4 linked regions of the Nothobranchius furzeri genome follow. The main gene of each other region encodes a partner of the protein of the gene in region 4 in a complex. Links are inferred from orthologs where the notes say so. Each region holds a gene or a part of one and is shown on either strand. Other genes may lie near its edges.

What was found.
Region 1: pbrm1l (region 4) and smarcd2 share a complex: the UniProt entries of both Homo sapiens proteins name them as parts of the SWI/SNF-B (PBAF) chromatin remodeling complex. The link is inferred for Nothobranchius furzeri from reciprocal best matches to the Homo sapiens genes PBRM1 and SMARCD2.
Region 2: pbrm1l (region 4) and smarcc2 share a complex: the UniProt entries of both Homo sapiens proteins name them as parts of the SWI/SNF-B (PBAF) chromatin remodeling complex. The link is inferred for Nothobranchius furzeri from reciprocal best matches to the Homo sapiens genes PBRM1 and SMARCC2.
Region 3: pbrm1l (region 4) and smarcd1 share a complex: the UniProt entries of both Homo sapiens proteins name them as parts of the SWI/SNF-B (PBAF) chromatin remodeling complex. The link is inferred for Nothobranchius furzeri from reciprocal best matches to the Homo sapiens genes PBRM1 and SMARCD1.

The regions. Positions count from the first base shown.
Region 1 is NC_091756.1:35,526,865-35,534,208, reverse strand, and holds part of smarcd2 (SWI/SNF-related matrix-associated actin-dependent regulator of chromatin subfamily D member 2), read right to left. Parts: intron 4,785-7,344; exon of another isoform or gene 4,713-4,784; intron 3,510-4,712; coding exon 3,390-3,509; intron 2,792-3,389; coding exon 2,696-2,791; intron 2,494-2,695; coding exon 2,392-2,493; intron 2,299-2,391; coding exon 2,137-2,298; intron 1,285-2,136; coding exon 1,187-1,284; intron 980-1,186; coding exon 844-979; intron 763-843; coding exon 640-762; intron 1-639. UniProt on the Homo sapiens protein: Involved in transcriptional activation and repression of select genes by chromatin remodeling (alteration of DNA-nucleosome topology).
Region 2 is NC_091743.1:50,344,000-50,351,903, reverse strand, and holds the start of smarcc2 (SWI/SNF complex subunit SMARCC2), read right to left. Parts: upstream 4,453-7,904; 5' UTR 4,404-4,452; coding exon 4,293-4,403; intron 3,363-4,292; coding exon 3,243-3,362; intron 3,142-3,242; coding exon 3,056-3,141; intron 2,935-3,055; coding exon 2,853-2,934; intron 2,463-2,852; coding exon 2,370-2,462; intron 2,288-2,369; coding exon 2,218-2,287; intron 2,124-2,217; coding exon 2,054-2,123; intron 1,888-2,053; coding exon 1,812-1,887; intron 1,225-1,811; coding exon 980-1,224; intron 875-979; coding exon 750-874; intron 592-749; coding exon 538-591; intron 374-537; coding exon 336-373; intron 270-335; coding exon 139-269; intron 1-138. UniProt on the Homo sapiens protein: Involved in transcriptional activation and repression of select genes by chromatin remodeling (alteration of DNA-nucleosome topology).
Region 3 is NC_091743.1:58,866,235-58,874,007, forward strand, and holds the start of smarcd1 (SWI/SNF-related matrix-associated actin-dependent regulator of chromatin subfamily D member 1), read right to left. Parts: upstream 4,145-7,773; 5' UTR 4,102-4,144; coding exon 3,916-4,101; intron 1-3,915. UniProt on the Homo sapiens protein: Involved in transcriptional activation and repression of select genes by chromatin remodeling (alteration of DNA-nucleosome topology).
Region 4 is NC_091743.1:66,060,866-66,068,209, forward strand, and holds part of pbrm1l (polybromo 1, like), read right to left. Parts: intron 7,301-7,344; coding exon 7,212-7,300; intron 7,125-7,211; coding exon 6,908-7,124; intron 6,797-6,907; coding exon 6,655-6,796; intron 6,535-6,654; coding exon 6,449-6,534; intron 6,361-6,448; coding exon 6,081-6,360; intron 5,991-6,080; coding exon 5,885-5,990; intron 5,674-5,884; coding exon 5,034-5,673; intron 4,252-5,033; coding exon 4,040-4,251; intron 3,959-4,039; coding exon 3,767-3,958; intron 3,674-3,766; coding exon 3,516-3,673; intron 3,428-3,515; coding exon 3,185-3,427; intron 2,261-3,184; coding exon 2,115-2,260; intron 2,043-2,114; coding exon 1,885-2,042; intron 1,508-1,884; coding exon 1,324-1,507; intron 1,235-1,323; coding exon 1,027-1,234; intron 930-1,026; coding exon 731-929; intron 656-730; coding exon 506-655; intron 1-505. UniProt on the Homo sapiens protein: Involved in transcriptional activation and repression of select genes by chromatin remodeling (alteration of DNA-nucleosome topology). Required for the stability of the SWI/SNF chromatin remodeling complex SWI/SNF-B (PBAF).

The sequences.
Region 1 (7,344 bases), on a different chromosome or scaffold from region 4:
GGTGAAATCTGTGTTGACAGGAACCCAGACATGTAGATCCTTCTGATCTGATCATTTCTAACTGCTGGCTGGAACATTTATCTTTAGACGTGTTTCGGCTCGCTTTAGGAGATCAACCCTCCACCACCTGCAGCAGAATGCTTCCTGATTAGCTCTCTGAGCACATGCCGGCAACAAGGTGCATCCGTTTACTGGCTAAATATGTTAGAATGAGTTCTGTGCTATTGTGTCACATTATATAATGTAAACAAACGTAAGAATGCTGTAATCCCCATAATGAATATCACCTTAAGCAACATTTAATGATGAGTAAACACTGCAGATTCCAGTGGGACAGATTTGAACTCTTATGGCGAAGGAGTAAAAAAACAAACCCAATAAAACCTGACTTCCAGGTTAAGGAGAATGTTCAGAAAACTAAAATATTTTTGCCGTCTAAGCCGTAAAGGAAATCTAAACGAGTCAAGATCTAAACACTTGATTTAATCAGATAAAAAAAAACATAGGAACTTCATTTTACCCTGTCTCTGCTATTTAACTCAACTTCATTTCATTTTATTTAGTTTGTCCTGAAATGAGGGACTAAAATAAGACAAAAGAGTCACGATAACATGGTAGTTGCAGCAGACATTTCTTTACCTTCAGATCTCTGCTCTGAGACTTCAGCCAGTCTTTGATGAACTCTTGTGGATTATTGCTGAAGCTCAGCATGAAGTCTCTCTCAGTCTTGAGCTGGTTGATGTACTCAATTGTTTCATGAATCTGAACATAAACAACAAAGGAAGACGTTTCAGGTTTCTACAGGCTCGTTTCATTTTAGTATGAATCCAGATTAGACCCGACCTTCATCTCAAGAGTAGCGATTTCCTGTTGGTTGGTGGTGGAGGACAGAAAACTGTTCATCTGAGCTTTCAGAGGGTCGTCCACCTCCACGTCAATATCATAGCAGGCTGTTTTCTTCTGGTCTGTGGGATCCACGCTGCTCAGGGAACAAAGGAGTTGGTGGTGACTACAGGACGGGTTTATACCTTATCTCAGCTCAGAACCAAATAGAAAGTGTTTCTAAGGTTCTACGTACATCTGTGTTTATTAACTGTAGGAGCAGCTATGAACCTTATTCACCAAGTGTGGTGACACTGTGTGTCTGAAAGCAGAGATTGTCTGAAGCTGTAAGATGAGACCCTACCTGATGATGTGGTTGATAATAATAGGGTCAGGATGCTGCAGCAGGCCCGCCAGCTTCATGGGGATCTCACTGAACCTCATGCGTGGACAGCTGAAGATCTGAACACAATTTTATTAAACCGCATTAGCACTTAAGACAGGTGATGTTAAAAAACACTGATAACTAATCCATCAGAGTTCATATCCAGCCCTCTAAAGCTAAGACCAGGACTACATGAGTCCTGTTTCCATTTTAGGAGTTTAGGGGACGGGGAGAGCAGCTGTGTGAAGTAAAAAGTGCCGTTCAATGACCAGAAGAAGCTGTTTTTGACAAAGCAGTGTGGATAATGGCGTTGTGGGGGATTTCCACTGCATTATATGCGTTGAACCTTCAGAAACTGCAATTTCAAAGCAGCATTAATGCTGTTTGCTTTCTTTCACTTCCACTCATCTTCACCAACAACTCTTCCCATTTTTGAAAAGGCCAGTTATTTGGCGAATACAACCAATCAGCGTGAGTTAAAAACAAGCCCGCTCAGCGGCTCTACCAGCCGAGTACCTACCCCAGCTCAGGTATCTGAAATGGCCCAGAAAATGGTCCTATCTGGCCAGCCTGGTGAAATGGAGACACGCGCATGACACAAAGGTCTGGTCAAACTACTTGGAAGTTCCAATAATGTAAACGTGTCTACTGTAATGGTTAGATGGGACTGGAGGGCATATGCCAGTGGATCAGAACTGGTTTAGTGGGACAAAGTGAGGTCATAATGTAGCTGATCAGTTATTAGTTGGATGGTGTCAACTATTTATTTCAAGATTTGATTTATTGGTGTTTTAACATCAATTTGTTGTAAAACTTAAACTGTGCTCATTGATACATTTAAGATATTTACATTGGATAGAAAACAAAACAAGCAAAACTTCATTTCTATGATGCCAGCATGTCTCATTCCCTTCCCAGTGGGAGCTTACCTGTCTGAAATAGCGGTTACAGTTGATGTACTCCTTCTCATGACTGTCCTGCAGCTTGTTGTTCTTGATATAGAGCCAGAGAGCTTGCATGATGCTGGCCCGAGTCTGCGTATGCACGCCCAGGAGACGGGCCAATCGTGGGTCCAGTTTGTACTGAGGGGGCTGACAAAAGGTTTAAAGTTGGAACAAGGTTAGCTTAGTGAAATCGTCAAATAATGCAGATGGTTTAGAACAGTGTTATTAGCAGGGAGGTACCTGGTGGTCCAGCATGAGCAGAAGAGTGCATTTGACGTTCACGTCTCCGGGTCTTTTGACCTGGAAACCGTCTGTCTCCTGAGTGGTGGGCATTCTATGCCACTGGAGAAGAAACCAATAAAAACACACCTTTAAATGCCATCTTCATGTCAAGTTTTAAATTAAAACCATCTTGTGCCGAGAAACGATGGAAGTTTTAGTCATTTTGGTCAAGTCCTGAAAATAGAACTGTGTGTGAGCTCACACAGCATCCTAACCCTAACCAACAGTGTTCGGGGCTGTTTCACGCCTCCTCCTGTCATACCTCTACTAAGTGGTTGTCAGGTCCATAAAGCTCCTTATCCAGCTCAATCACAAGACTTTTGAAGAAAGAGGAGAACTTTCTTTTCTGCTTTCCAGGCTGAAAACACAGAAAACACGAAAATACAACAGACAGAGAAACACATAACCATGAGTGTTCCCTTGCTGTGCAGAGTTCGTCTGGGGCTGCATTGTTTAGCTCTGACCACATCAGGGGTGAGGAACCAAACTGTTGAGTAGAAAAAGCTGTTGCACCCCCCACCCCCCCGCGGCCCTGTCAAAGTCTGTTTGCTCAATGCGACCTCCTTCACTCCTTCCCCTTTTCTTTTTGCCTCTGCTCCATGTGGAGCTCCTACACATGCTCAAACCCAACGAGCAGGAGGGAAAAAATTAGCAGGAAAAAAAGAAGAAGAAAACATCCATCTTCCGTGGCCCCAGATGACACAATGAGCTGAGCTGGAATTGATGGAGGGAGGGGAGGAATATCAGCTCATGGTATGCAACGGCCAGTGGTTTCAATTCTCTATTTCAACATGAGCTTGTGTGTGTGTGTTGCAAACACACATCTGGCTGTGTGGTCTGAGCCAAGGACACAGGCCAACTGAAGTTTACAGAAAAACAACAGGCTGAAACATTTGGGGCCAGAAGACATTGAGACGATTGTGAGACAAAGCAAGAACATTCAGACGCCCTCTTACCTCCTCCAGGAGTTTGCCTTCCACTCTCAGCTCCCACGAGGACACTTTCTCTGCCTCCTCGCCGTCAGGTTTGCTGGGAGTGAAAGTGTTGGAAATGTAGATCCTAAGCTTTCGCTTTTGCTGAGTCATGCAAAAAATAAAAAAAAATAAATAAAATAAAAACATTTCATTTAGAACAAAACATTTCAGTCAAATTGTTGTTCACCTGAGAAGATATAATCATTTGCAGTCACAGGCTACCTAATATTTTAAACACTTTGCCCAAATTAAAGTTTTTTTGCAGTCATGAATGTTTCTGCTGTAGTTTTTTTTTTCACATGAAAAGAGAAAGTTGGTGCAGATTCTTTCATTCCTAAGTCAAGAAAAACTTGTTGAACTTCTTTATCAGTGCTGACAGAGGCCATCCAGTCACCTTCACTGCATCTGACCCAATCTGAGCAGATTATTTTATGTCACACGTTTATCAGGCTGCTTCTGCCTCCTGTCGCATCATCCGCTAACAGCCGCAGCTAAGAACAACCATTGTATCACACTGACTCCACGTGTTTAACTCTGAATCATGAAAGTTTCTCAATTCTCTCAGATTTCCTGAAGTTCATCTCAGTTTCATTTTTCCAAAGTGAATTGTAGCTAATTTCCAAATTAACTTTTTTCTAGTAGAAGCAGAATAAGTCTTTATTCGTCCCTCTGCAGGGAAACCTTTAAAAAGAATCTGCATTGGCAGGGAATCAAACCCAGGTCAACTGCTTGGAAGGCAGCTATGATAACCACTATACCACCAACACCTAATGTTTGCACATTCCAGATGTTTCAATTCACTGTGAAAAGTCAACCCTGCTCAGTTATTTTTTCTTCAAGAGGTGGATCTGACAGCAGTTGCTGAGCTCACTGGCATGTCCTTTCTTTTTAGAACAGATTCAATAGTTGATCTGTCCACCCTTCATCCTTGTGCCTGTGCTGGTTTTGTCTTCATAAACCGGGGTGTCTCTCCTGACATATCCACCTTATTCCTGGGCTCCCTCATGTAGAAACGATGATGTGTGCAACATCTGGTGAGATACCAGAAGCAGCTCATAGCCACTGGATTGCGTGGTGAGGTTTTGAATCTTTTAGCAGTTTATCTGGACATTCCAAGGGAATCTTAATCACCATTTCCCCACGAAAATGTACTCCCACAGTTTGGGAACATGTTGAAAGTTCCATTTGTGGCTACAAGAGCTACAAGTTTGTAACATCCACTCCACTTCGCTGCACAGTGGTCCCTTGTTAATCAAAGGAGTTACGTTCTAAAAATAACCTGCAGAAAAATGTTTAAAAGAAACCTGCGTTGGCCGGGAATCGAACCCGGGTCAACTGCTTGGAAGGCAGCTATGCTAACCACTATACCACCAACGCCTGATGTCAGCCTATTCCAGATGTTTCTCTTTGCTGTGAAAAGTCAACCCTGCTCAGTTTCTTTCAGGTTGCTGTAAAGTATCTCTTGGTAATCACTGGAGTGACATTCTAAAAATAACCAGCAATTGGGGAAATCTGCAAAATAGTTAGCTTCATTTTTTACAATGATTATAGATGTTTGTAACGTACGCAGCTACTATTGGGGTCCCACACACAAAAACACACCAGAATGTCTGTTTCTCAACAGTTTTATTTCTAGCACGCATGCATGTTTTACACTAACGGCAGCGTTTCAGGCTCTCGTTGTAGAGATTTGCGTCTCTTCCTCCTGCATATAAAGCTGCAGGAACGCTGATTACTAATGTGCTCCAGTCATGGCACAGCGCGCTCCCGCTGACACAGCCACTATCCTCTCCACCGCAGACGTGCTCGTCCCAGCACAACTCTGCAATGTTTTAAGGCAGTAAAACCCCTCACTACACACTTTGTACACTTCAGACAGGCATTAACATTTTCACACCTTTCTCTCTTGTTTAAATACTGTCAAAGTTCAAACCTTGGTACCTTTGGATGCAGAACACAATTCCTTGTTAAAAAAATACATGCAAAATTGCACAAAACAAAATTTGCAAAATTGCGAGACTGCAGATCGTGAACCACGTTATAGCGAGGGACCACTGTACATCAATGGAGGACCCGGTCTTGTATTTCACCTGATGTAGAAAACTAAAACCCAGGCTTAATGATGAGGGATTTAAGGCTTTGACTTGACTTTATGTCTGCTTTTAAGTAAATAAGATTGTGTCCCACTTATTTCAACAAAACATGACCAAGTATATTACGATGAAGCGACTGATAAGCCTCGGAGCTTTAAAGATTGTTCTTTGCCTCACCATTGGATGAGACAGAGTTAATAAAGTGGCTAAAAATGCTACTGTGCGTTAGCTTTGACCAGATTTCCATACCATCCTACATCCCTCTGTTGCAGTAGTCAGGGGGTTGTAACGACATCCCATTTGAGCTATGACAGCTGGTGTTCCCATATAATGTAGGTCTCTAAAAATCTCCTAAAATGTGAACTACCAGGAACAGATGGCATCATCCATCTATGATTCCTAATAAACACCAGACTGGAGGTCAGTTGCAAATTTTACGCAAGGGCTCATGAGGGGTAAGGCAGATATCGATAAAAGTGTTCTTTTCCTGCAGCACAAACAACCTCATAAAGGATGCTAACCTATCATATGGTTCATCACCCTAGACCAGTGGTTCCCAAACTTATTTAGCCGCGCACCCCCTTCTATGTCCCGACCATGTCGATGCACCCCCCCCCCCCACACACACACACACACATATCGGGGCATGGCTCTCTCTCTCTCTCTCTCTCTCTCTCTCTCTCTCTCTCTCTCTCTCTCTCTCTCTCTCTATATATATATATATATATATATATATATATATATATATATATATATATATATATATATCAGATGTCAAGCTAAACAGACAGGGTTAAAAAAATTCCCCATCACTTTCATTTTTTAAATAGTAAATACTAAACATTCGATACCATTACAATTTCCTTTGATTTCATTTTAAATAAATATTTAGAGTGCCCAGGTAGCACATAAATAATGCAATTTAACGGTTTTCTTAAAGTAGGAACGTTTAACCTGTGCGGCCAGAGCGCTCTCCTTCCTTCTGCTCTGCGTAAACCTGAGCTGATCACCTACTTGTGCGTAATCAAATGTCAATAGGGGACAAGATATAGCCATGATGTTCACTTTTACCTCAGACCGACTTATTGCTGTTTTATGGTGTGGCTGAATCTGCGATCCGCTGCCATGCGGACTGGAATAGCAAATGCTGCAGTAACAGGACTTGTGGTCAGGTTCATGAGGAGTCACTGGCTGTAGCGGACCCGACTCATCCCAGAAGCTAATATCTTAATTGACCTTGAATGAAAAATAACCTCTTAAAAGTTTTTATCGTGGTGGAGGCAGCGTTCATTTCTGCCTTCAGTCTGACGGCGCGCCAGAGTTAAAGCAGCGTGCGTGCTTATTGAATCTGTGTGTGTGCGCGCGTCTCGTTATTGGCGCTATTTAAACTTCTGCCCAGCCCAGATGTGCTCACATGTGCACCCGTGAGCCGTGGTTCCGCTGGAACACGTCTGACCTCTGACAGACGCACTCTGAACTTCAGATCTTCAGCGCGCTGTCAATAGCCTGAATGGGAATCATTTCTTGTTATTTTGTTACATCCACAATGTTCTGTGTGTGAGGTTTACAATGTCAGAACACCTGCATGAGACAGGTGTTAATTACAATCTGCCAGAATGACTCGCCACCTTCAGATTCGTCCAACACCGTTAAAAATGATCAAATACGGAACATATCGGCGTGCGCAGGCCAGAGTGCTGAAGCTCGGCGCATTGTTATTATGAAGCTAGGGCACATGTGGAGGACACGCGCGCGCGACGGAACATATCGGCGTGCGCAGGCCAGAGTGCTGAAGCTCGGCGCATTGTTATTATGAAGCTAGGGCACATGTGGAGGACGCGCGC
Region 2 (7,904 bases), about 16 Mb from region 4:
AGTACATTTATATAAACTAAGCAAAACAATGTTTTTACTTCCACTAAAGAGAATAAACCATTATTAGTATTTTTTGTAGCTTTGCAGCATTTTTTCAAACCCAAACTAGAAACTAGACAAACGAATGAGTTCCCTTACCTGTTGTAGTCGAACCAGGCAGCGTAGCTGGGTATGATGATGTGGTGAGTCTGCTCAGTCACGTTGTCCTCGTGAAAGTCGGAGCCCTTCACAGGTTCACCCTTTACACTCGGAGAGCCTTCCTCCTCCTCCTGATCAAACAATAAGCGTTAATTATCATTCGTTATTGTTGCGTTCACCTTTAAAGGCTTCCATACCTTTCCTGCGGTTTCCATGGACTCATCCTCCTGCTCATCTGTTCAAAAGTATACAAAAACATTTTAAAAACACTTACAGGAACATTATATGAGCCTTTCAACTATGTAAAAGGCTAGATCCTTTACTTTGGTGCTATTTTATCTGCTTTAGTGACACCTTTTAAAGAAAAAAAAAGATTTATAGATGTTTGAACAAACTCACCCATGTCTGTCCCTCCTTTGACAGGGGTTGAGTCAGAATCCTTCTTGGTGTTGTCTGCAATGTCAAACTTACTCATTTAGCACAAGAAGACTAAAAGAAACAATAAAACTCATTAAAACACAACACACTTAAGATTTATGAAGGAAATATGGACGTGTTAGTCTGTTCCCTACATATATATATTATTTTGTGTATTTTTTATTAATGCATACTGGTTTTAGCCATGTTTCCCTCTTCAGATGCTGGAACAGGCGATGGTTCGTCCAGGTCTTTGGACAGATCCTCCTGCTCCTCCTCCCTCTGGCCTCGTTTAGACTTGGTGTATGGGGTTGTGGGTCTGTTAACACAAACAACAACAAGGCTAGTTTTCAACAGCCAAACCAGCCGTGCCTCCTCGCAGTCAGAGGAGGAGAACATGTAAGCTGCAGGAGTTATAGCCCACCCTTTTTTGGTGTTCTTCTTTTTGCTCTCTTGTGGGGGAGGTGTGGGGGAGGGGGAGGGCGAGCGCTTCCTCTTCTTGGCACTGCCGGGCTTCTTGTCCCGCCGCTCATCTGGTGTGGTCACCTCATCCGTCAGCGTCTTAGCAGAGATCCTCTTCCTCTTGGGACAACCGTCTCCCACCTCGTAGTCCTCCTCGTTCATCCACTCGTTATACTGGTCCAGGTCCAGAATCCACTTGGCGTGGACCTGCCAGCAGAAACGTTTAGACGTTTTTCAGTGAGCAACTATTTAAAAACAAAACCTACAGTCACTTGGAGAGTTTATGTAAGTTTAGTCACGTCTTATTAGATTGTGAAGATTCAAACATTGGACATATTGTAGAATGAGCATGTGGTGATACCGCACTCTTAAAAAAGGAATGTATTCCCGACAACTACTGCTTTACTTAGTGCAAACACCACTGAAAAGGTGGGCACAGGCAATATATATATATACATATATATATATGTATATATATATATATATATATATATATATATATATATATATTTATATATATATACATATATATGTATGTATATACATATGTATATACATATATATATATATATATATATGTATATACATATATATATATATATATATATATATATATATATATATATATATATATATATGTATATACATATATATATATATATGTATATACATATATATATATATATATATATATATGTATATAGATACATACATATATATATATATATATATATATATATATATATATATATATATACGAGTAACTAATGATTAGAAATAAAACTAATAAAGACCTTCCTGGGCTTTTCTGGGCTCGGAGGATCCTCCACTGCAGCTTCAATCTCACTTGCAGGAATCCACGTGTCATAACTAAAAACAACAGAAGGGAACAAAATACACATCAAGGCTTGTGAGAATACCACACAAGGAGCAATGTGTAGGTTCAGTGAGCTCACAAAGAAGACCGTTTAGGACTCATTCAATGGTAAAAACGCGTGTGCCGCTGCTGTGTTTGAAGCGCCAAGTCAGAACCAACCTGTCTGGAAAATATCCCCAGTGGAGGAGGACCTGCTTGTCTCTCTTCATCACAGGACGCACCCACTCTTCTGGACCAACAAATATCATGTTGTATTAGAACTAAAGTGGAAAAGCAGCAGAATTCATAAGAAACCCGAGCTGAGCAACATAACAAGGCTTCACCTTCCTCCAGACTGGTGGGGATGGGAACCACAACGTGGGAGCTGGAAGCCTTGTCTTCAGTCACGGAGCCCTGCAGCACAAAAAGGCTGTGTGGATTATACATGCACAGCAGAATAACACTTTTGTTTAAAAAAAACTATGCAAAAACCAACCTGATGTCTTTTAATGATGTCTTTCAGTTTTCCAAGCAGCTTCGGTTCAATGTCAGAACTCAGGTAGATGATGGGTCGGCTCAGGCAGTTGTTCTACAAGAATCAAGGAGAACCAGCTCAAGTTGTAACTCTAGTTTTATGGTTCAAATCCTATAAATGAGCATTTAAGTGTGTCTGATTCAGAGAAAAGGCTGTCTTTTGTTATTTCTATCTTTAAATCTCACCACTCTGATTCTAAAGACACTTCCTAAACGTGATGTAAAAACAGGAGACAAGCAGCGTTCCCAGCACAGATAACCTATTTAGATCGGCTACTCGCAGAAACACAAAAGAAACAAAAACCTCAATGTTTAAATGTTTAGAATAAATCAGAAAAACCCCACAATTATCTGACAAAGATGAAAAACAATTATTACAGCATAACTGTCCAAGGAATGAGTTTTAAAAGCTTAACGGTGAATAAAATCAGTGAGAAAAACTCACCTGTACTAAAGATTTCTCAATTGTCATGAACATTTCCACATTTCGGTCCATCCTCGATGGATTCTGGAAGTCAAACCTGCGCCTACCAGGAAATTAAACTGGAGTTACACACAAAACAGCAGGACAGCCTAAATGCAGCAGAGCACTGCCACTTTTATTTCACTCAAGATGCATGATGAGACCAGTCAGAAAGAAGCTCTTACCATCCTTGGTCACTCTTGAACTTGTAGGCAGCAGCCAGAATGTGGCAGAGAGCCCCCCCTGATTTAAAGTCTAGAAAACACTTCATCTGCAGAAAGAAAATAAAACAGCTTCATATTACATCGCCTGAGGGCAAAGGGGTGAGTAATCTGTTAGAGAGAGGGGTGGGGGTAAATAAGTGTGACATACCGGCAGCTTAGTGAGGGGAGGGTTGCTGACATGTCTGCCAAACACCTCCTCCTGGAACTGGAGCAGCTGGACCACCAGGCTGGACAGGGATTTGTTGGTGGGGGGCTCGGCCTGGATGTACTGGGGAGATGGGAAAAACTTATGGGAACTCTGGAAGTTTCACTTTTATCACTATTCCTGTGTATGCATCTTTTATTTATGGGTGTAAATAATGTAGATGGATCTGTATGTTTATCAGTTTATATAGTATTATTGCTGGGTAAACTCAGTATATTTCTCATTCCTCGCTTCATATGGGTGTTTTATACATTAGCAACACTATATAAATAAAGCATTTATTCCATCGTCCTTTTGTGAATCCTATCTCATTAACTGTCTATTGCCTAAATCTCTGCATTCTTTTATACACATGAGCAGTGTTCACATATGTGTATTTGTTTGTTTCTTATTCTAGTCATTATTAAAGTGTGTTATTGTAACTGGATAATGGAGACTTCGGTGGACAAGGAAAACTAGATTTCTTTCGTAAAAAGCTTTAGATCTTTTTAAATAAAATGTGATTAATTCCACAATTATCCATCATTAATGAATGGATACTTGTGACTTTTTTGATCATTAACACCATGTTTTGTTAAATCTACGTGATAAAGCGCTGGTCAGTGTTATTTAACACCGCTCATGACTCCAGAGCCAGAGGCGCGCCACACAGCCAACATCTGGATGTGAGCCGCGTTACCGTTAGCCGATTAGCTTAGCTAGCCTGCTTTGCCAAAAATATCTCTTTTTCTAAACTCCGCTCCCTCCGGCGGGACTGTGTGGTGTCTTTGGATCCTTTTGGCTACAGCAAGACCTACAGACACCGACTTTTGCGGCCGCGTCTGATGTTGCGGTTGGCTCAGCATCCTTTTTTAGTGAATCAAACAGCTGGACGCTCAGCAGCACCCTCCCTCCTCTCTTTGTCACTGCCTCTGCCTCCATAGGTAAGCGCGTACGTTTCTGGGCAAAATAAGAAAGCTCCGTGAGCACGCTTATAAAACATGCGCTCAGTACCTTTTTGTAATTCTTGCCCAGCCAGACGCGGACATTATCAAACTGCGAAACGGTGTCAGATGCTTCGAAATATTTTACATTGGGGCCGCCGTCTTTCTTCCGCACCGCCATCTTTGCCTGCAGACTACCAGTCGGTGTTGGCTGCCTCCTGGCGGACAGAGGGCGTCTCTCCAATAGCTTGATAGCACAAAGCGCTGTGTCGACGGCAGACGAGCAGCAGGGGGCAGAGTTGTGCAGATAATAATTTATCCTGCAACATAGTTTAAAACCTGCTTTCAGCTTGTAAGAAAGTAGTTGCACAATTTACACTTTTTATAATCGTGATTTTATTAATAGGTGGAGCTGCGTTGATTTATTGCTGATAAAATACATTTGCACATACAGACTTGATCTGGAAGGGCATAAAACTGTGCATTTCATGTATGTTCCCATTTGTGCTTTTTTTATAGCCCATTTTATCCAGAAACCCAATAATAAAACAAATATAATTACTATATTCACACATACACAAACAATCCACTTACTTTTAGTCATTTTGAAATTTGTAGTAGCCATTTTTTCTATTATTTGTTGATAATTATAATTTTTTTCTCTTTGTTTCATTCAAAGTGTCAAAATATATATATATATACAAAAAACATACAAAAACATGCATAAACATGAACACCAAACAATTTGAATGAAAAGGGGCAGAAGGAAGAAATATCTTACATTATCTACCCCTATTGACAAACCAAACTTTTTAATAATGCTTCCATACAATTCTCAATAAACAACAAAACAAAACACAGATTCATTATATATTCTTGTAACTTACAGACCTAATCAGACACCAACTTAATTTAGGTTATTGTAGTTCTGTAATACACTTGATTTGATACATTTTTTTAATATATTTAGTGACTTTGATTCTTTTATGTCTTTGCTAAGGTTGTTCCATATTCTCAATTGCTTATTCTTGCTCACTTTAAATATATTTTTAAACATTTTCTAAGTGATTTTTTATATTTTTACAATTTTTTATAGTTTTTGTTTTTGTGAAGCGCCTCATGATTTTTATCTTGAGAGGCGCTATAGAAATGATATTTTCTTCTTCTTCTTCACGCCATTTACAGAGATAGTCATTTCTTTCATTCTGGTTCTAAATTTCGTTTTTTTAAATACTTCAGTTCCTTTAAGAAATAATTACTGACTCTTTTTTCAAACATTTTCTGAATGTTGGTGGGTAACGTATTGGTTTTAGCTTTATACATTGTTTGCAATATTTTCATTTTCACTAGATCATAAAATTTCATTAGTTTATATTTGATGAATAACGGATTGGATGGATCTCCATAGTGATTGTTATTAATGATTCTCAATGCTCTTTTCTGTAGAATAAAGAGTGGTTGTGTATGAGTTTTACATGTGGATCCCCATATTTCTACACAGTAATTCAAATATGGAACAATTAGTGAGTTATACTAAGTCAGCAATCAGAACTATTCAGTAAAAACTTAACTTTATGTAGTACTGCAATGGCTTTGGCAATTTTACCTCTGATATAACCTATGTGTGACTTCCAGGTGATAGCTTTATCAAACATGACTCCTAAAAATCTCATTTCTTTCACCCTTTGAATGTTCATTCCATTTATTTTTATTGTTACATCTTTGTTGACTCTGTCATCAAACAATATAAAATTTGTTTTATTAAGATTCAGTGAAAGTCTGTTTATGTCAAACCAGTTTTTAACTTTTATCAGTTCATCATTTAACACTCTAGCTACTTCATTAATATCCGACCCTGAATAGAACAATGTTGTGTCATCAGCAAATAAAACAGTACCGAGCAGCTTAGATACACTTACAAAATCATTAATAAATAGTATGAACAGTTTAGGTCCAAGGACCGATCCCTGTGGCACACCATAATCAATCTCTTGCAGTTCTGATTTAGTGTTGTTTAGTTGGACAAATAGTTTTCTATTCTCTAAATAACTTCTAACCCATTGATGCGTCACACCTCTTATTCCATACTGATGTAATTTCTGAAGTAACCTCGAGTGATCGATAACATCAAAAGCTTTCTTCAAGTCAACAAATTTACTGATGAAGTAGTTTTTATTGTCTATTGCTGTAGATATTTTGTCTATTAGTTCCATTATTGCCATTGCTGTTGAATGTTTGGTCCTAAAACCATACTGTTCATTATTTGAAATATTATTTTCTTCAATGAATTTATCCAACCTTGATACAAATACTTTTTCTATTATTATGGAAAACTGTGGAAGCAGTGACACTGGCCTGTAATTGGAGAAATTGTGTTTATCCCCACCCTTAAACAATGGAACCACCTTACCAATTTTCATTGTGTCAGGGAAAATTCCTGTTGAAAGTGACAGATTGCAGATATAAGTAAACGGGTCAATAACAGATTCTACTATAGCTTTTACAGTCATCATATCCAAGTCCTCATAATCAGTTGATTGTTTGTTTCCACAGTTTTTTACAATATTTGTTATTTCTACTTTTTCTACCTTGTCAAGGAAAATACTATTAACATTATAAACTACTGTCTTCAGTTTAACTTCTATTATTGGTTTGTTACCTGCCAAATTCGCACCTACATTTACAAAAAAGTCATTTATTCTCCTTGACAAAGTAATCAGGAATTACTGATTTTGTTTTATCTTTATTTGTCACACTATTTATTATCCCTCATGTAGCTTTTATGTTATCTTTATTCTTATTCAATAGTTCACCACAGTAATTCTTTTTTGTTTCCTAATTATCGTTATTTTATTTTAATATTTTTTATATTTGCCTTCAGCTTCTTTTGTTTGCAATTTTAAGAAACACCTATACAATTTATTTTTCTTTGCACAAGCATTTTTTATTCCTTTAGTCATACATGACTGGTTTTTCCTTTTACCATGACTTTTTATCAACTTACAATTTTTATTATATGATTCCATCAATAATTTCATAAAAGATATATATGCAGTATTGACATGACTGACATGTACTTCTTTCCAGTTTTGTTTATTAAGATCTTTTTTTTAGTGCTTCCAGTGCTTTAACAGACTTATTTATTTTGCAATTGATAGCAATATATTTATTTTACAAATGTTTATATTTAAATATAGCAAAACCAGGTAAATGGTCACTAATATCTGTCATCAGTATCCCACTCCTCATAACATCATACTTTTTGTTTGTGAAAATATTATCAAGGATCGTAGCACTGTGAGATGTGATTCTGGTTGGTTTATTAATCAGGGGGAATAAACCTAAATACATTAAATCAACAAAGTCCATTGATATTCTTAGTTCCTCAGGATTTTCTAAATTAACAGTAAAATCTCCACACATTAACCAGGTTTTGTTTCTAATTTGATCAACCAGCTCCATCATCTTGTCAGTAAATTGCATGACACAAGGCCCAGGTGCCCTGTAGACGCAGCAAATAAAAATAGTTTTAGCATTTTCATTAGTAATTTCCACTGTCACCATTTCTATAACACTGTCCTCCATCACTATCATTTCTACTACTAATTTACACTTCAGATCTGATTTAATGAACAAGGCAACACCACCACCTCTTTTATTTTTTCTATTTACAAAATAAAGC
Region 3 (7,773 bases), about 7.2 Mb from region 4:
CTCAGAACCGTAAATGTGTGGGTTGTGTGTACATAACAATGTAAATTCAGTTTTAATCATTTTCATTTTATACAAAATCTGCTGATTTTAGAAGCATTAATGTCAGTATATAGGTATCAGCAAATATCGGTTATTGGCCATAACAGTGACCTTAACAGTGACAGCGGCTGCAGCGTAATCGTCTGTCTCTTATTAAGGGACACGGATAAGTTAAAAGGAGAGAGAAATAGAAGATAGAAGTTTTTGTTCCACTTTATTCTTTTGTTTCATGATGATAAACTGATGTTAAGTTCAGTAAAAAAAAAAAACTGGGAAGAAGCTTTGGTTCATTTTAGATTACAGGAGGTCTTGTTTCCCCTCTGCTACTCCAGAGACAGCATGGACATGAGGGTTACATGGTGAGGGTTACGCAGGACAAGTTAGTGGAAAGGTTGGTAGTTAGCTGGTTAGTGAAGGCAGGGTTTCCCTTACATAGGCGTAGCCGTGGCGGCCCGCCACGGCTGAAATCCCACCGCCACGCCTACAACATCCCAAGTGATGTTTTTTTTTTTTTGCGCCGTTTCCCGAAGAAGCAGCGGGAACTACTGTGTATTTACTGTGTAAATATCTGTAATCGTGCTGAATGAAATCCTCATTGGGTAACTGACTGTCTTCACGCTCTGTGATTGGCCAGTCAGATAGAGCGCCCGCCCCTCCCTACACACAAAACTGCAGCCGGGAGCTCAGTCAGCTCGGCCCAGGCATCAACGCACACACACAGACAGTAAAGCCGGGTGTACACTGTGCGACTTTTTCACTTTTTTGAGCAGATTTTCCACTCGTGCGAGAATCCACAAGATCGGGGCGAGTTTTGCGCCGAGCGTCGTGTAGTGTACAGGGGGTTACGAGAGGCGATTAACACCACGTGACCAGCTACCGATCAGCAATCGTGAGCTCGCACGGACTTCTGGAGTGTTTGATATTTATCTCGTTCCTCATGAGGGTTGAAGCGGCGCAGCGAGCAGCTGCAACCCAAAAAGTATCAGAACCGCTCACGGCGCATTCGCAATCCTGCATCAACTCCGCTCACCCGCTATTTCCCCAATAACACACGTTCGTTTTTATTTCTACACGTTTTTTTACTCACAATGATTGTCAAGAAAGTGTGTTTGTCGTGATCATGTCAAATTAAACTGATCACAAAACACAGATTTACTTTATTTCGTTTTCCTCATCCAACCCCCATAAATCCCTGTGTGTCCTCCTGCAGCACTCCTGAAGGACAACAGGCAAAACAAGACAAAAAAGTCTGACGTGTTGTGTAAAAACTGCTATTTTTAGCATATTTTAGGTCCGATGTGTTGCTACCAGATGTACAGTGAGCACATGACTCGTGAGATCTGCCCTGCGCTGAAGTCGTACAGTTTGAGCTGAAGCTGTGTTACGAGTGAAAAAGTCGCACAGTGTCCGCCCAGCTTATTATAATGTTCACTGTAATGCATCTTGATGTTCTTAACAAATAAATTAAATCAAAAATATTGGTCAATAATGCCAAATATGTAAATTTGTGTTTCAGTCATTTTTATACTGGCTTAAAAATACTTCATTAATTCTACTAAGCAGGGGTGTAGAACGCGTTTAAGAGGGCCAGCCCAGTAATGGTCTTGGACCAAAATAAAGGGGGCAGAAAGTCAAATAAAGGGGGAAAAAGAAGATGTTTTTCCAGACGCCAAGAAAAATTAAATGCCAAATCCACCCTGCAAAGTGTGTCACTGAGAGTTTAAAACAGAAATTATTCTTGTGCAAATATTGGTGTATTCACCTTTAATACTAGTTATTACACTGCAGCAGTCGCTGGACTGGTGCAGTTCAAAGTGGAGTGCATCAAATAAAACAATATTAACATAAAGGTGAGACGTGTCATAGTCCCCCCCCCCCCCCGCCAACACCACCTCCACCACAGCTGGAAAAATTCCTAGGGGAAACACTGTCCCTGATGATGTTAGCAGCTAACGAGGGGCAATTAGCTTAAAGAGGCGACTGTCCCCCTTTGTTCTCTGCCACGACGTGCTTCCTTTTAAGGCGTTCGTTCATCAGCATTATCTTCTTGTGAAAGAAGTCCTACTTTGCAGACTTTGCACTGTACATGCTTATTTTTGTAAAATGCTTTCAAACTTTGTGCTACATTGCAGGTCGCCATGTCTTGTTTTTCCGGTGATGCAATGGCTCACCCGAATGGCCGCTACTGCGCACGTGCCTCGAACAGAAAGACCGCAAGCAGCAGTGGTACTGCTGAAGCAGGTAAGATTAAAACAATGCGTAGAATAAACAACGTAGACTATTAAGTTTATTGATGACTATTTTGTTTGTTGATGTCATCATGACAAATCGACCAACCCTGGCAGGACAAGCTAACACTTTTAACCCTCCCACTGTCTTAATGGGTGACCCCACGAGGAAAGTTGACCGTTGAGCAGAATTGATTGTTTATCCCTTGAAGTCCACGTGGCAGTGGTGAGGTGGTGGTCACTAGTCGCCCATGCCACATGGACCCAAGGGATAAACCATCAACCCTGCTCAATGGTCAACTTTCCTCATGGGGTCACACCCATTAGGACAGTGGGAGGGTTAAGGTAAGGCAGACTGAAGCTTTCCCTGGAGCAAGCAGGAGGGAAGCCCCTAGCGCCGACCACCCCTAGCCCTCTGCTACTTGTCCATCAAAAGGACACGCCCCCAATCATTCATAATTTCAAGCTTTTATTACATCTAAACAGAAGAGTTACATAAATTCCCCCCCCCCCCCCATAAGCTGCACACACGTTGACTGTTAAAAAAAAGGTTGCACTACATGAAAAAAATAAATTAAAAAAGCTGCACAACACAACAAAGTGATGATGAACTGCATTGCTAATGCATTTCTTAATCAATTTTTTTCCCCAATTCGTTGTTGCAACAGTAGCTCAGGAGGTTGAGCTAGTTGATTAAATGAATGATCAAAACCTTTAACTGATACTCCAATTACATGAGTTAAACCTATCAGATAGTAGTTTCAACAGACATCTGCATATTAAAAGTTAAATTGAAACATCAGTCTGCACAAACACACAAAACATTACCTTTGTCATTTAAAGAAAAACTTTGCTCAGCTGGCTTGTGTCCTTTGGTGGAAATATTTTGACTTTCTTGATCGCGGGACTAAACTATTATTTTAGTTTTATTGTAACTATAGTACATCTGGAAAACTTTTGTTCTTTAACTCATGATTAAGTAGCACTAGTCTGATCTGAAAATCAGAATTTAGAATAAAGGTGAGGCTTGAAAGTTTAACTAGAATATTTTTAAAGTACAAAATCCATCAGTGACAAATTATTTCCAGTATATTATTAGATCAAAAGCACAAACTTCACGCATTAAAACGGAATTTGAGGCTTTATTCTTATTTAGTTTTTTCCGTCTGGAAAACTGATGGTTTCTTATCAGTGTAAACTTTTCATTCAAAAGCAGACTTTTGATTTTAAGACATCTAATAAATAGAAAATCCCAAACCTAATCGAATTGGGACTTTCAAACGTAACAAACTCACTTTTTGTGAATTTTCCTACACTACTCGAGCCCTCTCGGAGTGCTTTTATTCAAACTACAGAGCAAATTAGCAACGTTAGCATGATGAGCTAACTAGCTGCTTACTAAAACTTTAACGTTTGCGGGCGGGATGGGTTAGCAAATTCAAACACACCGATGGTAACTCAAGGGAAGTGGCTAAAATAAGTTTTGGGATAGACTGACTCTATTCAACCAGCCTGAGAGTTAGTCACAGCTTTGGTCCTCATGGAGAAACAGAAACAACGTTGGCCAGTAGCAACAAAGGAGCGATGAGGGGCTTTGTTCTAGCGAACAAGCTAACGCGTCAGCAGCAAACATGGAACGAGAACTCACCGGATACCCAGGCCCGGGCATCGGAGAGCGGTACATGTGGTTCTGCGCGGCTGACGAAGGCCCCATTCTTCCAGAGGGAGTACCGGGGCCCATACCTGGTCCTGCACCGGTTGCTGGCGGTCCAGGGCCCATTGCTCCACCGCCACCACCCGTCGGAGCAGATTGAAACCCCCCTCTGGCCGCCATCTCCTCTCTGAGTGTCGCCGCCGGTGGAAGCACGAAGCTAACGCGAGAACAAGCTCAATGGGGAGAGTTGGAGATGAAACAGCGCTATCTGCTGCTCACATCTGGTAACAAATAAATTAGCTTTTCTATTGAGATGCTGATGATAGTCTTTCAACCATCCATGAAGCCTGATAAATAAATAAATTAGAAGCGTTGTAGCCCAAAGTGGTGCAGAAAACAACTACATGCTTAATTTTGCATTTTTAAGCATACTAAAAACTTATTTTTATTGTTTTTGTATTTTAATTGGTGTGTTCAATTGATCCAAATGTTGTTTCTGGAGCTCTGAAAAAAGTGTCCACTATACAAATTTAGCATCATTTCAATTGCTTCCTGCAAGACCAAAAATTTAATAAAAACCCATTCTAACTTCGCTCACATATCTGTAACATCTATGACATCTACAAAGTCTGCAGAATATTTTTAAACCAAAACAACATATTCTGGAACTTTTACTGAAAATACCGTAAGAAAAGAGATTTTACTTTAAAGTAGAAGAAAAGCACAGATAAGAATGGTATTTTGAGTGATTTTGTCCCATTTGTCTCATAAAACTGAAATAAGCTGCATTAATTTACAAATTAATCACTTTGACATGCAACACATGAGCATCAGCAGATGCGTAACTTTTATTCAACGAGAAAATACATGCTGAAATGTGAAAAATATCAAAACATTACAGACTGCAGTAATTAGTTCTTTTTTAATTTTTATCAGAAGTTCATGAACTGCAAGTCGCACCATCTCCCTCTGTTTAGGAACATCACACAAATTATACACCACATCTCCTTTCATCACAGCAGGGGAACATAAATTAGTGAGCCAACTGCTTCCGTGTCTGAGAGGTGATCTGAATCTGCGGTGCCTCCATGAGGTTTTTCAGTTGACTCATGATCCTCTTTGAATGCTTGTTGATTGTATGCAGATGCAGAGATCCTAAGATGAGCAAAGTTTTAAATGTTTTGAGCTACGGTCCTGCAAAAATTCACAACAGTTTATGTATTTTTTCCCCCAACTTTTGATGATGTTACACTTTCTCTGTTCAGTATGGAGAATCGGCAGCACAAAACATGGGGCACCATTTGTTTGCATAATCTCTTTGTGTTGGATCAGAAACAGATTGCTGGCTGCCCGGGGGGGGGGGGGGGGGGGGGCATGTGTTTTTGGACATCTAAAAGCATCTACACTGTAATTATAATTTTCATTTTGGGCTTTATACCTTGGTGCACGAACAGGCTTATCCTACAGGCTTCTAAATGTGTTTAATAACAACTAATTGAAAAAATGGTCATTACTTAAACACACAAGAGGCCAAATGAGGCAGGCTGAAGTCTGACAGCTAATACGGCATCTTTCAGTGGTATCAAACTTGACTGCATGACAATAATTTATCCTCTTAATGAGCTGAATGTAAAGTGTAGCCCAGAGGAGCTGCCACAGCCTTATCAATGACAAACGGCTGAGCTCTCTAATTGCATGGAAAGATCTGACAGGATAAATTTATACCAGAAACGTGACTGATCGGTCACACAGGCGAAGCCGGATCAAAAATTAATTTCTGTACCGTACAGTCGCTAGTGAGCAGAAATCCAAAATAGCCCCAGTGCAAATGAAAAATCTCAGGGTCAGAAGTGGCTATTTTGGGTCAGCATAGCTCAAATTTAACAAGCAACTCCAGTATTTGGAGCAAAACTGCGAAATAAGTAGAATTTCAAATCAAATCAAATGGGATGCATCGTTTATGGGCTGAGAAAGACAAATCTGTGGACACTGGGAATATATATATATATATATATATATATATATATATATATATTATGGGTGGGACTCAATTAAAAAATATCTAATTAATCAGACATTTTGTAATTAATTAATCTTGATTAATCACATTTTAATCATTTAAGACAATTTGCCCCCCCAAAATTTATTTCATTAAAAATAAAATTAGTGAGCCATGGATAACATAGCCACTCTTTAACAAGCACATTTCTGTAATCACAAGATATATTTGACTACTTTTGTCTCACTATGAAGATAACAATTATGGGATTTTTTTTACAAAGCGTAAATGAACATGGCACATTGCAATGCTGTGTACAGAACTGAACACTAGGTGGCAGCAGATCACAGTTAATATAAATAGAGGTGTGGTGTAGAGTTCAGAGGAAGTTCTGCTGAGGGTCACAAGATGAATGCTGCATGTACGCTTGTCCCTCCTGCTGTAATAAGGTTCATGTGGATAAAGTCACTGCCTGTTTTCTACCTACTACAAAACATAACAATAAAGTTTCTTTTCTTCTTGAAGAGCAATTTGTCATGATTCATTTACTTGTAGTTTAAGTTGTGTTTAGAGCACATAAAAAAAGATTTATTTAGTTGCGTAGCCCAGGCTCAGCAGTTTTTACAGAGGTGTAGCTTAATTTATTGATATATAGGCCATAAGATTGGATGCTTAACTTTTTTGCTCCCCAAATGGAGGCTGCTCTGGCTCAAGTGGTAAATGTTTAACATATTAATTATTTCTAATTATTTAATCATAATTCCATCCAATATATATATATATATATATATATATATATATATATATATATATATATGTAAAATATATTATATATATATATATACACACACACATACAGAAAAGTGCAGTTCTAGGAACAGCTAAGATACTGCGCAGAGCCCTCAAGCTCCCAGGCCCCTAGAGGACCCGAGCTTGGATGGAAGAGATCACCCGCAGAGGGTAAGATGGGAATTTTATATTTTTATATATTTACATGCATTTAAGTAATTTTACCACTTTATTTCGTGCTAAATCCAAACATTTTCATGGCACTTGAAACCTCAAAGAAAAAAAGTGTGTGAATACAAACAGTGGCACTGATAAAAGAGACAGTTTACTCAAACTTACCCATAATCTACGTATTTATTTCTCAAACATTATGGTATTGGAAACAACAAAACAAAGCCCACCTCATCAGGGGTGTAATATCCGTGTTCAAGTCAATAATAAGAAGCAATAAAAGGATTAGGAGGGCATTACCTCTAACTTGTGTGTAAGTGTGTGAGTGTTCAGTGACAGCAGACAGCAAGATTTAAATGTCAGATAAGGATGAAATCAGCAGCAAAACACATTTCATTAAAGCATAACAACAAACAGAGATTTTCTTGCACCCCCTCCATAAATTACAACCAGCTGCTTGCAGTGATTAGTGGTGGATGTTCCAGCAATTTAGAAAGGGCAGCCCATTTGGGATGGATTCCATTACAGGAGCATCTGTTCCTACTGTCCACAGATTGGCTGCATGTCGAACAGCAAGGTGAGAGCTCAGAAGGATCAGTTATCTTTGATCTTTATGTCTGTGAGGCGACGAGGGCGCGTAAAGATTTCAACCTTGTTCAGAGAGAAGGGAAGCCACTGCCAGGATTTCAGGATGTGCTTGCAATTAGGACCCTCGAGACTGCAGTAAAGTCATGTTAATTGCTTATTTTTGCAAAGAATTCCAGTTTGTCTGCACTCCTGCTGGTGTTGCCACCTCCCACCCCCGCTTAGCCTGCGGAGGCTTATCAGGATGCAGCAAGCATCTCCTGCAGGATTTCTGTCACTGGCAGGCAGCTCTCCTGTATCCTGACCCT
Region 4 (7,344 bases):
AGGCCTTAGACCTGCTCCCATGTAATTTTATGGTTATGTTACGAAGCTACCAATATTTTTCAACAACTGGGCACCATTTAATTCAAATTTCAACAAAATTCTGATGGATATTTCCAAAGATTAACGTAAAAACTACACATTGTCACTTTGAATAAATGGAAACTTGACTTGGACTCATTTGTTCTAGCAAGATTCATGGTTCAGTGTGTGAAAAGGGGTCGATGATGCAAATGGTTGAAAAACATATGAGTGTAAAAAAGAAAAAACTCCAAAATATTAAATGGAAACTTAAAACAAAATGCATTCATGGTTAAAAAAATATGAATCATGCAACCGTGCAGTTTATGTAAAGACAATAATTAAAACGTAAATGGCATCAACAGAAGAAAAGAAGTGGTTTAGGAGTTTAAACAGGTTAGAAAATGAAAGGATTATGGTTCTAGTCCAGCTTCACTTCCCTGCTGTCTTGTAGTCAAACACTGGTTATGTCTCTCTGAGGGGTTACCTGACACAGGTGTGTGGTTTATCATTCCCATAGTGCTAGGCAAAGGCACCACCCCCATCAGCGCCCCTACGGGGGTACCTGCTCTGGGGGAACCGTGCTTGAAGAACGGCCTCTCGCGCTCCGACTGTTCCACTATTCGGGCTGCGCGCTCTGAAACGCAAAAAATCACTTCGCTTAAATTCACACAAAAAAATTGAATTTAGTCGTTGAATGACTTCAAGTCACCTTCGTAATCCGCTTTTTTGGAAGCCTCAAGGTTTCTCCACTCCGTTCCTACGAGTCGACTCAGCTCCCCAAAGGAGAAGTCGGGGTGTCGAGCTTTGATGACAGCTCGCATCTCGCTGCTGAACAGGATATACCCGCTCATGTTGATCTTCCGCTTGGCTCCTTCCTTCTTAGCTAAACCCTTCATCTTAGGGGTGGACTTCACGAGTGACAAAACACACACGTCGTATAGATTATAACAGAAGCAGTAGCTGTGTGGAACCGTTAAAAACAAGATTTCAGTTGGTCTCCGATACCTGAGAAGGCGTGTAGGACATCGCGTCCATGTCGTTGGAGAGAGGAGTTTGCACCTGAGGCAAAGAAGGTGTGGATGGAGCTTCCTCGTCATCCTCCATTTCTTCCATGTCATCATCGCCATCCTCCAGGTCTGCCAGCTTAACCTCGAGCTCGTCTATCTTCTTGTCCAAAATGGGTGACGCCTCCTTTTGCGGCACAATTAATTTCCTACAAATCGCACCCAAACAAAAGTAAAGACAAACCAGGATGGGGAGGGAAAAGATTCCGTTTTACGTCAAAAATAATCCCGTTCACACCTGAAGTAATAGATCTCATCTTCCACCACTTTGGAGGAATACGAGAAGCGTTTCAGGCCCTTGAACTTTTTCATTTGCTTCTCGGCTTCGATGTAACGACTCTCACACAGCAGGACGTCATCCTCAGAAAACTCGGTTGGTCTGCAGGACAGGTAGTCCTTAAAAGAGGAGACCACACATTTGCCTGTGGGCAGAATTGAGCTTAATTAAACTGTTGAAAGGATAAAATCTGTCATTTTAACTGAATCTGAGAAGCGGCACCCTACAGAGATCGTTTCACATCTGAGAAAACTCCCTTTAATTAGCTTTAAATGTCAGACCACTTCTTAACCTTATGCAACATTTAATGCTGGTTTTAATATACTAAGCCATCAAAAGGTTCCCAACACACACACACACACACACACACACACACACACACACACACACACACACACACACACACACACACACACACACACACACACACACACACACACACACACACACACACACACACACACACACACACACACACACACACACGTCATTATTTAATTAAAGAGAACGATTTAGTAATACCTATGACACAGGTCAGGGGCAAGGTCTCCTCCAGCTGACTCAGAAACACTTCTTTCTTGTAGAACATCTTTGTGGGTTCGTGCTCCGTTTCTTCAGGGTGAATGAAAATGGGTCCAAAGAAGAAGGTGGCTCCATTCTGGACCCACAGCTTCTCCATCCTGCAGAGCAACCAGAGGACGATCAAACCCAAAACAGCACCAGCACCGTTTTATTAAGTCCTCCTAACCCACCTGGCAACCCGAGGTTTGGACAGGCCGTGGGACCGGATGTAAACGAAGTCGCCCACTTTAAACCAGGAGCTGTTGAAGCGCAGCTGTTCATAGTGCTGGCAGCCAGGTTCTGACCCGCTCGTCTCCATCGGGACGTCTTCCTTCTCCTAAACGAATTCACATCACCACACAGGAGGAGTGTTTACATTTAGATACCCTCGAAACGTGCCACTCAGCTCTGTCAGGACTTGTATTCTACCAGATGATCATTTAATTAATACCCCGTAGTAATGGCAAAGTGACACCATTTGTCTTGAGCGATAAACCTCTAAGGATTGCAACTGTTAGTCTAGCAGTCCAGTTTTGCAGGACTTGTGGAGTTTAAGGTGCATCACCAGATACTTTTCTGGCTATTTGTGCAAGCTGCTCTTTGAATTAACACAACTCTGAGGTCCAACCCCCTTTCTCCCATCGGCCACGCCTCCAGAAGAAAAGAAGGCATAAGGTTCAGTTGGTCCATTTTCTGCCTTAATTCGTAGCATAACACACCTACATAACCATATACGACTACGTACGCTAGCTAAGTTAGTGTTGGGCAAAAAAAAAAAAGGAATTTTTAGCAATCTTGTTTGTTTTTAACTGTAAAATCACAGCAGCTCAGCGCCACAGACAGTCTGGGAAAACCTCAGAGGAGCAGCTTGATGGAAAGACCACGATCAAATCATGAAGAACAATGATTGGATGAGGATTTTCCAGGACCGTACCCTTCAGGGTAAATTAAAATGATTCATTTTTTGACAAAACGTTTAGATTATTAGTCGGCATTGGTGTGTGGAGCATTTCAAACAATATGGCTAAAGATGCTCCAGAAGAACATCTCCTGCTGCACCTCTGATAGTAGTTTATTTGTGACGTCTGGTATAATCCAACAAACAAAAAAATATTTTTTATTATCTTCAAGACTTCATTGAAAGTAAAAGTAGCTTAAGCTTGATTCCTATTGGATAAATACAAGTAAACAAAGACTAAAGGTCGATTAATCCATTTCTGTAAACATCAAACAGACCAACTATTATGTAACGTCACCTCACCTTGTCCACAAAACTGCCACCATCCGAGAATGAAAGCATCAACTTTTCCAGGTCCGGTTTGGCAAACATGGAAGCAACACGGACCACTGGAAGGGGAACCTCTCGCGGAACCATCTGCGCTGAACTCTCAGGCATGGCCCAGATCTTGATCTTCTTGAAGATCTTATTTCTGGCCGTGTAGCGTGACTCGCACACGAACACGTCCTCGGCTTTAAAACCTTCAGGCTGCATTCTGAAATAATCCTACAGAAACCAGAAAGAGGTTCGAATTCTCGTGTCTACAGAAAACAAGTCACTTACGTCGGGCGTTGAGTTTAAAGGAGAGTCTTGCCTTCACAAAAACCACAACACATCTGCCCAGAACTTTACTGAAGGACACTTTGTTGTAGTAGTCGCTCTTGAACACCTCCTTCTCCAGAAACTTGCGAGTGGCCAGGTGAAAAGTTTCACTGGGCCTGTAGAACCAGCAGCCATAGAGCCACTTCTCACCTTCAGACACACACAAAAAGTGATTTTATACAAAGCTTAAGACACAGATTTATAAGAGAGAAACAAACAGTTAACAGGTAAAGGCTCGGTTACCCGCTTCGTTCTCCCACAGACGCTCGATACAAACAATGTGAGGCTTCAGGTTGGGCTCCGACGGCTCCACATAAACGAAGTCTCCTACGTGGTAGGTGACGTTTTCAAAGCTGCAGACCTGCACGTAGACACGCTGAGACTCAGACTCAGGCTGCCACTCCTCTTCTGGCAACTCCTCTGCTTTCTTCTCTTCTAAAAGTGAGGAACGTGAAAGTTCAGCGACACGTGCGACACTCTCCACACCCAACGTTTTGTGCCAAATGTTTTCCAAACCTTTCTTCTCCTCCTCTAAATTCTTCTTATCCTCCTCGACCTCTCGGGGAATTTTCTCCCTCTTCTCCTGATCCACGTCGCTGTGCAGGTGCTTGACGGTGTAGTTGAGCGCGGAGGAGAGCAAAATCTCTCCGTTCTTACAAAGCTCGTCTCTGATCTTGATGAAAAACTGCTGAAGCTCCACAGCATCGTCAAACACCTCGGAGTCGGTCCTGCGAGCCCAGAGAAGACACAGAGGCACGTTTCACCGGCTCGCTTTGCAAGAGTTACGTTTTTCCAAGCTGATCTGGTAAATACATAAAGTATGTGATTATGTCGAAGCCTTACGCAATCACCACGTCTGCCTGCAGATCCTAATAGAGGTCGCTACCTTATTTTGGCGTCTAATTTGGCGTCGCTCAGAGACTTAGACCCGCTCCCGTGTATTTAAGACCCAGTTTTTATGGTTACGTGTAACAAAGCTGCCAGTATTTTCCAACATTTTGACGTATATTTCCAGAGATTAATGATAAAAACTACATATCGTCTCTTTAACTTTGTGCACTGTCAGTATTTATTATCCAGATGTTATTAGTGAACATACAACTGCATTTAAATTAAATGCTGTAGCAGCATCGGGCTGCCCGAAGATGTGCCTGATATATCAGGCCGATGTAAAGCCGATTCTATCGGTCTACCTTTAGATCCTATGACCAAAAACGTAGATAAACAAGCTGGAATACATCAAATAAAGGATTTTGTTATAATTAATGCACTATAAAAGTTTGGTAACCGTTTTCTGGATCCTATCAGCGAAACGACACTAAAGGCTGAGTTTGGATCTTCCTGTGTGTGAGCCAAGCTTCACTCGCTCTAGTGAAAATAAGACCGATTGTGGTAAGGTACTACAGTTTATAGCTATTCCATCTATCCTGTGTAAAATCTGTTTTCCATTCCCTAAGTTTTGTGTTTCTGTCTTTACTGAATAAAGAGCTTCTCAGATGAGCTTCCCTACCGGTGCAGCCTTCTTGCTTTCTCCAGCATCTCAAACACGTGCTCCTGGAAGACGTCCAGTCTCCTGTAGCGTCCTCGCTCCACGTTCATCCTGATTATATCGAAGTTGAGAGGCGGCTTTTCGGGGGCAGCTGGATCCACAGCTGGGACTTCAGCCAGCGAGTCACTGTAGCAGCGACCCTCCTCGTCCTGGTGACCCATCATGGACACAAACAGATTCCTGATGAGCTCTCGCACCAGGAGTCCCACAGCGGGAGGACCCGAATCCTCTCCTCGCTCCTGCTGCTTCCGTGTCTCCAGCAGCACTCGGTGTAACACCAGAGCATCCCGATAGATCAGAGACTCAGGCTCGTTGTAGACGCAGGCGTTGTGGAACATGAGGGCAAAGTCCTCCACCAAAGCGTCCACGTCTTGGTACCGGCCTGCCGCCAAATGGCTTCGCACGCGATCCATTTCGATTGGTCGCTTGATGGTGGCGTAGTAGTCGGGCAGCTCGGCGCGAGAGGGCAGACGGAGAAAGATCGTGCTCAAGCGCCGACCTCGGCTGTCGGTGAAGTTTCGCACGGCATCGTAGAGCTCGTTTAACTTCTGCTGGAGAGGAGTTAGGTATTTGGACTTCTTTGGAGAAACGCCACTTTTTCCTAAAAAGAGACAGAATTAAAAAAAAACAGATTCCAGACAAACCATTTTTAACAGCTACATAAAAGCTATGCAACGTGTGCGCGTAACGTGGTTTCAGATTTACAAAACCTTTTATTTGTTAGTTTGCTACAGTTAAACAGGAAATAACATTCTAATTATTTAAAACAAACATCCAGACTTGAGTAAACTCACTACACCAGTAACACTTACGGATTTTCGGTTTTGGTGATCCCACGTCCTCCTCCTCCGGTGGAGGTCCCAACTCCTTACGCTTGTCTTTTAAAATCTTCTCCAAAACATCTGCGTCATTATAAACCTGCAGAAACAAAAGCCGGGTGTCACATGGACTTCTTCTGAAATTCTTTTCGTTCATTTTTTTTCACAAAATAAAAGTCCCGCTGCCGACCTGAGACCCCTCCTCGTTGTAATGCCGGGCATTTCGGAACATCCGCTTCATGTCGTCCATGAGCGCCTCTTCTGTAGCGTAGCGTTCGTTACGAATGTTGTACTCAATAGTTTTAAGGTCCATCGGCTCCAGGATGACGTTATAATAGTCGGGGTAGTCCTTCTTGGATGGCTTCACCATGAAAAGATCACAGAGACGCCGACTGGACCCCACCTCCCTGGCATCAGTCACGGCAGCAAAGAGCGCTTTCATTCGATTCTTTTTTACATTTTTCTTGTGGCTGGACATAATAAATAAATAAATAAATAAATAAACAAATAAATAAATAAATAAGCAACACAAAAAGGCTTCATGGTTTCACTTCAAACCTTTTCTTCTTGACACTCCCCGCATCGGACGACAAAATGCTGTCTCCATCGTCTTCGTCCCTCCTCAGAAGCTCCCTCTTCTTCACCTTTAAAGAAAAAAAAAAAAACATAAAATAACTAAACCATTTAAAGAATTTAGAGACTGAATAATCAAAAACAAAATATTCCAGCAGATATTTAAAAAGTAAAAGTTTCCCTGTCCTCGCCTGCATTATCTGCTGCAACCTGAAGGCCCGTTTGTAGATGCTGGAGTTGGGCATGTTGTAGCGCTTTGCATTCTCAAACATCATTGATAGGTCCGCCTCCATCTGCTCCACGGTTTCATACTCGCCGCTCTTCATCCTTGCCCTGAAAGTCACAAAGGCATCTCAAACGTCTGAACTCTTTGATGAGTGGTTTAGTTTTGGGTTTTTTTAAAATACAACTCATTTTAAAGCAATTTCAAAGTGTTACTGTCACCTGATTTGTGTCAGGGAAATGGGCTGTTTGATCTGCTGATAGTAATCAGGATACTCTCGGCGAGATGGCAGCTGCTGAAAAGGTTCAGAGAAGACTTGTCCCTGGCTGTTTCTGGCACCCCTCACGGCTTCATACAGCTGGAAGATTGGGTTGCTCATCTCCATGCTTGAACTCTGGCTCTCAGCCTCCGACTCTCCCTCGTCATAGCAAACAGACCCTGGAAACATTTAAAGAAACCCGTATTTGTTAGCAGACGAGCACGATTTCTCCTTTTTTAAAGACTATTGTGATAATAGAGACGTACCTGAAAGCACAGGGTCATCCTCGCTCTCTGAACCGTACTGAGCAGCGACACCGACACCAGAAATCCGATCCTGTCCGGATCGCCGATTTCTGAGGAACACGAACCACATCTACAACAGTCCTTGTTTGGACAA